Mytilus edulis: one gene and its partners. The main gene of each other region encodes a partner of the protein of the gene in region 3 in a complex. Links are inferred from orthologs where the notes say so. Each region holds a gene or a part of one and is shown on either strand. Other genes may lie near its edges.

Region 1 (3,761 bases), on a different chromosome or scaffold from region 3:
TCATTGATGGTTTGGAGGTCAGTTTAGACCAATTTTTCTATGATTCCATATGGAATAAAAATCAAATTGGTGTACCTTTATAATAAAGAAGGATACGGCTACAAAATGAACACAGAATGGACATTTTTGTCTTTATCATAAAAAACATGTACATGAAAAAACTGTCAAAATAGGTGCAATTTGGGTACCGTCACGTTACATAAAAAATATTAATCTAAGTTCAAAAATCGTTCGTAATTGTGTCCGGTGAGGCTATATGACGGAATAATCAAAGTATTTCATAGGTATACATTACCAAGATATACATATAAAACTGACCCTTATCGATTGCAAAGTACAAATAGTTTAAATCATGACACAGGCGCTTGGGTCTATGATACAGATATTTTTTTTTTTATTTTTTTTATTAAAATATTCAATTTTCTATATTTATAACACATATCTATCACTTTTGTGCATGTCTCACCTAGTTTCGAGTGATTTAAACGACCCAGTGAAAATACCCAATTTTACTATCCATACTAAGAAACAAAAAGGCAACTAACTCGACGCCATTTTTCTGCTATCTATAAATAAATAGATTGACCTACCTGGATTCCCCAACAATTTCTCTAGGAAAGCGTGCCTTCCTTGCCGTCAGATCGCACACATCGTTGAAATTTATCAAATTGGTATTGTTCGTAACATTTTTAGTCCATCTCCAGCATATAATAAAAAGATTTTAACTTTTTTGACTAATTTCAAATTTACGTGCCGGGAAGTTAACTGTTTTTCCCGAACTTTTGTTAAAGGGAAGTAATATTTTCCCGGACTTTTTCGGAATATCTCTCTAAGTACGTATGAAAATAACAAAGTGATACGATGACTTCCGAACTAATACTATATGTTAACAAACAGATATGATGAATATCGAACAAGATCAAGCCCCTAATTTGATTGTTAGTGGTCATAATCTTTTAATTTTCAAAAATCACAGTTTTGATTTTATGTTAGAAAGGGGAACTGCAAAATTTGGAAATATTGTCCCCTCCCCCCCTTTTTTTTTTACTTCAGTTAACATGACCCATGTTTTGTAATAATTAAAACAAAGTCAATAACATTTTCGTGGAAAGAAAATATTAGTAAATTTCCTTGCCCCCCCCCCACCCCCCCTTTTTCACCAAATAAATAAAAATATCAGATCAAATGGTCAATGGCTTAATTTTTTTTAATTCCACTCATAAGTCAATTTTGTGTGAGTATTTGTATATTTATAAATTATCATGAATCAATGTTTTTATGAGTATCTTCTTTTGGTTGAATTGTCATCATTTCAGACTGAATATGATGACAGATTCTTTTCCGGTAATTGGAAAGTTGCGCCTTTTTGGTAAAAGTTCGGAAATCATCGTATCACTTTATTATTTTCATACGTACTTGGAGAGATGTTCCGAAAAAGTCCGGGAAAATATTACTTCCCTTTAACAAAAGTTCGGGAAAAACAGTCAACTTCCGGGCACGTAAATTTGAAATTAGTCAAAAAAGTTAATCTTTTTATTATATGCTGGAGATGGACTAAAAATGATACGAACAATACCAATTTGATAAATATCAACGATGTGTGCGATCTGACGGCAAGGAAGGCACGCTTTCCTAGAGAAATCGTCGGGGAATCCAGGTAGGTCAATCTATTTATTTATAGATAGCAGAAAAATGGCGTCGAGTTAGTTGCCTTTTTGTTTCTTAGTATGGATAGTAAAATTGGGTTTTTTCACTGGGTCGTTTAAATCACTCGAAACTAGGTGAGACATGCACAAAAGTGATAGATATGTATTATAAATATAGAAAATTGAATATTTTAATAAAAAAAAAAAATAATAATATCTGTATCATAGACCCAAGCGCCTGTGAATCATGAGTATGAAAGTCAATGCATTTATCAGTATTTGTGCACTCCCGAGAAGTTGACCACCTGGCAATATTCAAATAGATATATGTAATATACAATAAATAATAGGTTAAATAATAACAATTATCAGTCCAGATTTGTCACAATATATACATGCACTGGTTCAAGAATTGGATAAACATTATTTTTCACCAGTCACTCGTTTCTTATGACTTTAATATTTACGATCTTATTTCTCGTGCTTCGTTTTTCCGTTTTTTATTTTCCGTGCAACGTTTTTGCGATTTTTATTTCACATGTTTCAGTGTTCAGGGCCCCCTTTACCACCCTCCTATAACACAGTAATCTCAGGGGATACATACAGAACACGAATGAATCTATTTGCAAAAGTGAATCTATTAGTATTAAATCAAGCATTTGTATAGTGAGGGGGGATAGGAGGGGTCCTGATCCCGAAATCCCGGACTTAAAAAAACAAAATCCCGAGTTACCGAATTTAAATTTAAAGTAAATCCCGACGTCCCGAAATCCGAAAAAAAGAATTCCCGGATCCCGAAAGGGTCAATCCCGAAATCCCGAGCTTAAAAACACGCGATCCCGGAGTCCCGATAAAGGTCCTATCCCCCCTCTATAGTAAGAAGGTCTTATTATACAAATCCTTGATTAAATCAAATGTAACAGTGACCAGGAACATATATATTAGATCATGGAAGTATGTCAATATAATACTTCCATGATTAGATATACTGTTCCCAGCAGTGACTTACAATAAATAGCAAGTGTTTGTTTCTTGTGTCTGTTTTGTTTATTTTTCTTCCTGGTTCCCGCCAAATCCAAATAATTGACTGGTACCATACATATAATTTCGAATCTATAATGAGCTAAGAGAAAGATCAACTCTGTTAAAAATTATAAACTCTGCATGATTTTGTGTCAACTCTATGATTTTTATTTTTATTTAAGACTTATACATTTAAATCGTCATGTAACATTTAGTTTAAAATTTAGAGTTTAATTTTGAAATACCTAAAACATAGCCTGTTATGTCGGACCTTCTTTCTTTTCTTCGTAGATTCCTCCACAACGGAGCACCCTTATCACACGGTAGTTTCACTGTATCTGTATATTTTCTGCCAATATTATAGGCACACCTTCAGTATGAAGTCAATATATCCCTTCACCAATATAATGACATACAGTAGTGAATTACAATATCCAATCACCAATAGAATATATATAACGATGTACACTATTTACAAATGTCGGTATATCTTTACACACAAATCACACCCGTTCTCATCTATAAAATCTAAAAATGAGTCCTTAATAGAAAATATGAGATTTGCAGTCCACACACAACTTTTTTTTTCATTAAATAGGGCTATGATCTTAAATTATTTTTTCTAAATCTTTTCTGATCTAAATTTAAAAGTTTGTATCTGTGTAAATGAAGCTTATATATTAATGTTCTACAAGCAGGCTCTATATGGATGTTAATAAAAGCACAAAGTTCACTGGTTAGAGAGGTACCACAATAATTTACTAGATGATATGGATTGATAATAACATGGATGAAGTCTACATCTATATCATGCATATTAATGTTTAGTAGTTTTAGCACTTTGATATATTGTTCTCGGAGAGATTTCAAAAGAGACATTCTTTCAGTTTCTAAAGGTGTACATGAAATCAGAAAATGTGAAATGGTTTCATCCTCTTTACCGCAAACTCTGCAGACGGCAGATACATCATTTTGATTAAATTTTGCTCTATTTGTCTGTAAGATGTAATTGCCAGTTGCAAATCTGGTCCTAATGGGTAATTTGATTATGTCTCTACAATTTGATGTATTTGTTGTAAGAATTGGATGTAT
Region 2 (3,761 bases), on a different chromosome or scaffold from region 3:
GGGGTCCAAAATTAAACTTTGTTTGATTTCAACAAAAATTGTATATATGGAGTTCTTTTATATATGCTTAATCTAACCATGTATTTAGATTTTTGATGTTTGGGCCCGGTTATCATATTGGTCCACATTGCGGTCTTAAGGGTCCAAAATTGAACTTTATTTGATTTCATCAAAAATTGAATTCTTGGGGTTCTTTGATATGCTGAATCTAACCATGTATTTAGATTTTGGATATTGGACCATAATAGGTAATGTCAATTTAAAATTTAAAGTTTTTAAGTTCAAGTTCTTAGACCACATTCATTATGTGTCAGAAACCTGTGTTGTGTCAACTGTTTTAATCACAATCCAAATTCAGAGCTGTATCAAGCTTGAATGTTGTGTCCATACTTGCCCCAATGTCCAGGGTTCAAACTCTGCGGTCGTATAAAGCTGCGCCCTGTGGAGGATCTGGTTTAAAAGAGTTGTGTCCCTTGGAAACCCTTAAATTATACGGAAAGTTGCATTGTCAATGATTGTTAGTGCTCTCATGTGTACAATTCTTCCCAGAATTTTATAAAACTTAATTCACAATCATAAAGAAATCACATAAAATCTAATTGACCTAAAATTTGTTGATATTGCTTAAATTATATTGAAACTTACCGGTATTGTTACATGGGTATTAGTATTAGATATAATGGCAGTTTTAATGTCGCCATCACTTCGCCATTTGAAAAAGCTAGGAAAGCATATTTTAAAATAAAGAAAACAATAGGATTAGATAACCCTTGTAAACTTCTGGGAAAACTTTTTGATTCCTTAGTAGCCCCTATTCTCCTTTATTGTAGCGAAATCTGGGGGATTATTTCGACATTTAAAGACAGTGATGCCTATGAAAAGTTGTGAATAAATAGGATTTTTGTACTCGAACCTCATGAACTTCAAGTTCAGTATACATTTGTAATTCAGACATGTGAGATATAGGTATCATTGGGATACTTCAGTATTGGACTTTTATTGTAAATCAATAATAATTCCAGTAAGAAAGCATTTCCTCTCTGCAATTAGAGATATACATTGTATAAAGAAGATGTACACCCTGTGTATCAAAAGTCAGATCTGGCAACTTTTATCTTCTTCTTTTTCTGCAATAAACATGATAATAACCCCTCTTTTTTCCTTTAGTGTTAATTTAATCATTGTTAATTAAATAGCTGGTCAGTGTTCATAAAACTTATCATTTGATTCTATTGATTAATAAGCACATGTTCTTATCTTTTATATCCGTGAGACATGTGCATGTGTTTACCATTTACAAAACTAATCATCAAACATCAAACATATAAACAATAAACATGATAAAATGTCAATGCTATTTTTCTGATCACAAATATTATTGATTTAGGTGATTAGATTATCAAGAGAAAACATTAACAGGGGCGGATCCAGGATTTAATGTTAGGGGGGGCGCAAATTTTTTGTTTGCTGAGCGGAACGAGGCGAAAAAAAATTTTGAGGTAAAATTATTGAAATATTCTTCTAAAGGGGGTGCAATGTAGATATCACGAACTATTGTGTGGTAAAATTAGCGAGAAATTTACGTTTCAAGCTGAAACCGACGAAATCCTCCTCTGAAAACAATCTATAATTACCATACTTAACAAGAAATCTTTGAGCTTCTATTCATTGAGACTATCCCCATATATTTCCTCAAAACGGGACAGAAAACAATAAGGATCGATAGAGACATTCCTCAATCCGGAGTACACAAGCTGACCCTCCACATAAAAGTATGTCAATAGTTGCTGGGAAAACTGGTGTTGCATTTAATGAAGTACTAGAAATAGATGTGCATGCGTCCTAGTTAATCCTCTGGACCAAATATATAGTGTCTGACTGACAGATGGACGGACAGAGGTAAAACAATATGTCCCTGTTCCGCGAAGAACCTCCGAGTTATGAGGGCAAGGTGTCTTACAAGTTGGAGAAATCCACAACAATCTCCAAACACCCCTCACTCAGGCATGCACTAAGGAATTCATATTGTATATATGAGTTTATAAAGCTACAGTAATAAAGTTGCAGCCCCAAAAACAGAAGCTGAAGATCATGCAAACCTTTTATTTTGATTCTGTGTTCCAATGCAAACCAATCTACAATCAAGACACCATCACTTGTAAAATTATCTATATAGCAATATCGGGTAATATCTTAACTAAACCCGGCTTAAAAGACGTGCTGCAGGTAGTTGTGATATAAAGAAATACAGGTACACCACAAAAAAGTTAGTTGGAACTTTGATTATCAAAGAAATTGATAATAAAAAGCGCAAATACAATGAAAAAATTAACTGCTAAACATCTATTATGTTTGACACCAAACGCAGCTCCGCGTTTGACACCTTCCTTTGGAGTATACAATATTTTTAGAACTTAAATAAAATGTAGGTCAGTTGATTAGTAATCACATTAATTCTGTTAAACTGACTGTTATATATACAATATAATATAATGAATGTTAAAAAAGATGGAATGGTATCTTCTGATACTTAAATAAGTTGAAGACAACCCATGCTTTGCAAATTTTTTTTGGGAGGGGGGGGGGGGGGGGGGGCGCACGCCCGCCACGCCACCGCCTAAATCCGCCCCTGATTAAGTAATATTTAATTACCTTTTAAGTTCTTTCTGTGAGAGCCCTGACTGTTGTTACAGTATTTTACACATAAATAAATGTATCTGCCCTGCAGATTATTCGCTTATCTTATTCTATAATAATACTTCTTTTTTTTGGAAGATAAGTTTTGTTTTAAAAGAAAATTACATGAATATACATACCAGAACATAACAGACAATAGGTTTACAATCACAAAGGTCATGAAGGTCACCCATTCAGAATCAACTTTGCACTTTTTTCATAAATATGTGGATTTCCTTCCAAAATTTTAAATAAATATTTGAGCCGGCAAAATTAAAACAATGATAGAAAGACGTTGCCTAGATTGGCTAGAAACTGAAAAAGGATTGGATGTTCTAGAATGACTATAATTTAATATCATTCCATACATGGACACTGCATGTTATTTTAGTATTATTTTTATTGACTGGGTAACAGATGGTATACAAACATGTCTAAGTTTTAAAAAATACACCTGAAAAACTGATATTTTGTAATTTGAGATCAGTTGAATATTAAATAGTACATGTATAACCAAAGTTTCATTCATTTAAAATATAATGTTTGTTATCTAATTTATATTTTCAGTTGTGGACATAAAAATTAGATTAGCTGGAATTCCTGGAAGAAATATTGGTTGTATAATTCGGATTATGCCTTAATTTTACAAGAATAAACTTGAGAAAGGCAGAAAATTTGCAGGTTTGTTTTACATTGAAATGTCTTCATACATGTATATTGGTATTCTATTGCAAAATCATAAATGAACATATAATTTCATACAGAACATTACTTGTTATTCGTTTGAAATGATGTATTATATGATCATTTTATTGCACTAATGCAAAAAGCTTCAAATTAGCAATGTGTCATCTTGGACAAAAATATGTTTCAGAAGACAATGAAAGAGTTAATGTTTATCAAGCTTTGGTATATACAATAAAAGGGTTACTGCACAAAAATTGGACAAGTATCCTTTGTAGCATATGATATGAATAGCACACCAAGGTGTTTCAATAAAAATCTATTGATGATAATATTTCCCCTTATGCATGCAATAACCCTTAGTACATTCCTGATATTACTTTGAAATTTACTGATTATTT
Region 3 (3,761 bases):
TAGTTCCTGAGAAAAATGTGACAAAAATATTCATGGGATGGACGGACAGAAGGATGGATGGACAGACAGAGGTAAAACAGTATACCTCCCTTTTTTAAAGCAGGGGTATAAAAATCTTGTCATACTGTTACATGTGACAATGCACTACAGGTTAATTACCAAAGGGAAAATATTATAAACAAGAGTTTGTCCCTAGTACACAGATGCCACATCCGCACTATCGCTTTCTATGACATACATGTACTGTCCAGTGGACTATGAAAATGGGGTAAAATCTCTAATTTGGCATCAAAATAAGAAAGATCATATCATAGCAAACATGTGTACTAGGTTTCAAGTTGATTGGACTTCAACTCCATCAAAAACTACCTCGACCAAAAACTTTAACCTGGAGCGGTACAGACAGACGGACGATTGAACTGACAGACAGACCAGAATACATAATGCCCATAAATGGGGCATAAAAAAAGTTATAACATTGTAACCAGAGAGCATGAATTTCATTACAAAAATTGCTCGTCTCCACAGGGACCTCTGTGTAACAAGACAGCAAGTTAACTGACTGAGCTAAAGAAGTACTTAAGCTTCCTAATTAAATGTAGCTCAACCGCTTATGGCTGACTAAGTATCTACTACATTTTTCTAAGGGAAGCAATCCTGTCACAATATTTTATAATTTTTTTTTTTTTTTAACTTTTTTTTTTTAAACTATTTTATAATTTGTTTGTGTTCAACTTAAGGTTCATGTGGACCATCAAAATTCACTCTGAGTACAGACAAACCTGTGCATCTGGAAAAGTTTTAAGGCATAGCATGCCCTAGATAACTATAATTTAAATGCATTGTTATGATTCAGAAAAATTCATAACTAACCGGATTTTGCAGTGCACTTTTTTTTGTCCCATCAGAAAATGATAAAATTAACAAACAAATGAGTTTTGCTTGTGGTCCACTCTGGTACACTGATTAAATAAAAAAATATTGTCAGGTATCTATTGTCCATGTCAAACAAAACAGCTCACTTCAATAATACCTGTGGGGAATATCTCAAACCTCTTTCCCAACTTAGTTTATTTTGGTACCTTCTGGAGGAATGAAAACTAAAGGCTCTTAAGAGCCTGTGTCGTTCACCTTGGTCTAGGTGCATACATGTATTTAACAAAGGACACAGATGGATTCATGACAAAATTGTGTTTCGATGATGATGATGTGTTTGTAGATCTTACTTTACTGAACATTCTTGCTACTTACAATTTTCTCTATCTATAATAAACTTGGCCCTTTACTTACAACAGAAAATATTTTGTAAAAAAATTACAAAAATTTACCAAATTAATGAAAATTGTTAAAAATTGACTATAAAGGACAATAACTCCTTAAGGGGTCAACTGACCATTTTGGTCATGTTGACTTATTTGTAAATCTTCCTTTGCTGAACATTATTGCTGTTTAAAGTTTATCTCTATCTATAATAGTATTCAAGATAAATAACCAAAAACGGAAAAATGTCTTTAAAAAAATAACATGAATTCCGTAAAAATTACCAATTGGGGGGCAGCAACCCAACAACTTGTTGTCAAATTCACCTGAAAATCTCAGGGCAGATAGATATTGACTTGATAAACAATTTTAACCCTTTCAGTTTTGCTCTAATTGCTTTGATTTCAGAGTTATAAGCCAAAATCTACATTTTACCCCTATGTTCTATTTTTAGCCATGGCGGCCATCTTAGTTGGTTGGCTGGGTCACCCCACACATTTTTTAAACAAGATACCCTAATAATGATTGTGGCTAACCAGGCTAAGTTTGGTTAATTTGGCCCAGTAGTTTCAGAGGAGAAGATTTTAGTAAGAGATTACAAAAATATACGAAAAATTGGTAAAAAATGACTATAAAGGACAATAACTCCTTGAGGGGTCAACTGACCAATTTGGTCATGTTAACTTATTTGTAGATCTTACTTTGCTGAACGTTTTTGCTGTTTACAGTTTATCTTTTTCTATAATAGTATTTTCGATAATAACCAAAAACGTCAAAATTTCCTTAAAATTACCAATTCAGGGGCAGCAACCCAACAACCAGTTGTCTGATTCATTGAAAATATCAGGGCAGATAGACCTTCACTTGATTAACAATATTACCTTTTGTCAGATTTGCTCTAAATGCTTTGGTTTCAGAGTTATAAGCCAAAATCTACATTTTACCCCTATGTTCTATTTTTAACCATGGTGGCCATTTTGGTTGGTTGCCTGGGGCACCGCACACATTTTTTAAACTAAATACCCCACTTATGATTGTGGCCAAGTTTGGTAAAATTTGGCTCAGTAGTTTCAGAGAAGATATTTTTAAAAGTTGACGGACGACAAGTGATGTAAAAAGGGCACTGCAAAATCCTGTTAAGTTTTTATTTTTCTAAAAAATATTCAAAATGTATTTATCTAGGGCAGGCTTTGCCTTAAAACTTTTCCAGATGCACAGGTTTGTCACGCAGAGTAAATTTTAAGGTGAAAACACGCCCATTTTAACCAAAGGGTCCACATGAACCTTAATCAAGCAGGGACAATCTATACTATTTGAAGTCCCTGGTTCAAGGCATACTTTGTCGGATAGCCTACTACAGTTTTTCATTGGGTAGAGAGCTTTTAACATTATATTATAAGATTTGTAGTCTCCTGTGGCCAATGCCCGGCAATGTAAAACTTGTGAAAAGTTGCCTGCTACTGTTCTGTTGAACTTACAAAATATTTTCAAGCTTGATTCTAACTATTGCACCTTCCTTAAATGTAACATCTTCGTGATTATTGTTTGTTAAAGCCAGCTGAGAGCTATTCTGTCTCCGTTGCTTTACAGAATTTTTCATTTTTCAATATTTTTGACAAAATTTCGCGGCAAATGTTACAAACAACCATTAAACTTCCTGTATGTGTTAGAAGCTAAATTCAGTATTCAGTCCCGTACTCGACTCAAAGAAATAAAAAAAAATCGTAGTGTATTCTTATCCTTCACAAATTCTTATTCATTCTTATTCTTATTACAGGGACATAAAAAATTTGATTGAAGTTTCAGAGAAGATATGAACATTCAGTATTGAATCCGGTTCCTTACCTGGAAGAAGAAGAAGAAGAAGAAGAAGAAAAAAGAAGAAGAAGAAGAAGAAGAAGAAGAAGATGATTCTATTCTATTCTACCATATAGTGACCGCCTTCAACAAATTGAAGATTATGTCACAGGAGGAAACTTACAACAAGACATAGATTGGAAAAATGTACAATTTTTAAAAAATAGGAAAAATTAAAAATTTAAAATGTTTTGTATAATAAAGTAAGATGTTGTAATTGAGTTAATATTGATGCTTTGAAATTGAAGATTTGAAAGAGTCGACTGAAGTGCAATTTACAATGTTGTCCGGTAGTTTGTTCCAGTCGGTGATAGTTCTTGGAAAATATGACTCTTTTCTGTACTGTGTTTTGCAGGATGGAATTTGGAAGCTGTTCGAATTTGTATGTCTTGTTTGTCTTTTTTGTGGAATTAATTTATTTTGTTTAGGGATTGCAACCTTTTCGTGTTCAATTTTGTAGAGCATTACCAATCTGGAGTCTTTTCTTCTGTCAGAGAGACTGCGCCATTCAAGATGTTGTAACATGTTACCAACGCTTGAGGTGTTTCTGTATTTGTTGGTAACAAAACGCGCAGCCCTCCTTTGAACTTTTTCAATGCTATCTATGTCTTGTTGTAAGTATGGATCCCAAACAGAGCAAGCAT

Evidence for each region.
Region 1: structural maintenance of chromosomes protein 5-like (region 3) and non-structural maintenance of chromosomes element 1 homolog share a complex: the UniProt entries of both Homo sapiens proteins name them as parts of the SMC5-SMC6 complex. The link is inferred for Mytilus edulis from reciprocal best matches to the Homo sapiens genes SMC5 and NSMCE1.
Region 2: structural maintenance of chromosomes protein 5-like (region 3) and non-structural maintenance of chromosomes element 3 homolog share a complex: the UniProt entries of both Homo sapiens proteins name them as parts of the SMC5-SMC6 complex. The link is inferred for Mytilus edulis from reciprocal best matches to the Homo sapiens genes SMC5 and NSMCE3.

Annotation. Positions count from the first base shown.
Region 1 is NC_092344.1:117,754,539-117,758,299, forward strand, and holds the start of non-structural maintenance of chromosomes element 1 homolog, read right to left. Parts: upstream 2,798-3,761; 5' UTR 2,656-2,797; intron 1-2,655. UniProt on the Homo sapiens protein: RING-type zinc finger-containing E3 ubiquitin ligase that assembles with melanoma antigen protein (MAGE) to catalyze the direct transfer of ubiquitin from E2 ubiquitin-conjugating enzyme to a specific substrate.
Region 2 is NC_092344.1:12,733,628-12,737,388, forward strand, and holds the start of non-structural maintenance of chromosomes element 3 homolog, read right to left. Parts: upstream 2,886-3,761; 5' UTR 2,871-2,885; coding exon 2,817-2,870; intron 1-2,816. UniProt on the Homo sapiens protein: Component of the SMC5-SMC6 complex, a complex involved in repair of DNA double-strand breaks by homologous recombination. The complex may promote sister chromatid homologous recombination by recruiting the SMC1-SMC3 cohesin complex to double-strand breaks.
Region 3 is NC_092347.1:98,060,734-98,064,494, reverse strand, and holds the start of structural maintenance of chromosomes protein 5-like, read right to left. Parts: upstream 2,942-3,761; 5' UTR 2,861-2,941; coding exon 2,739-2,860; intron 1-2,738. UniProt on the Homo sapiens protein: Core component of the SMC5-SMC6 complex, a complex involved in repair of DNA double-strand breaks by homologous recombination.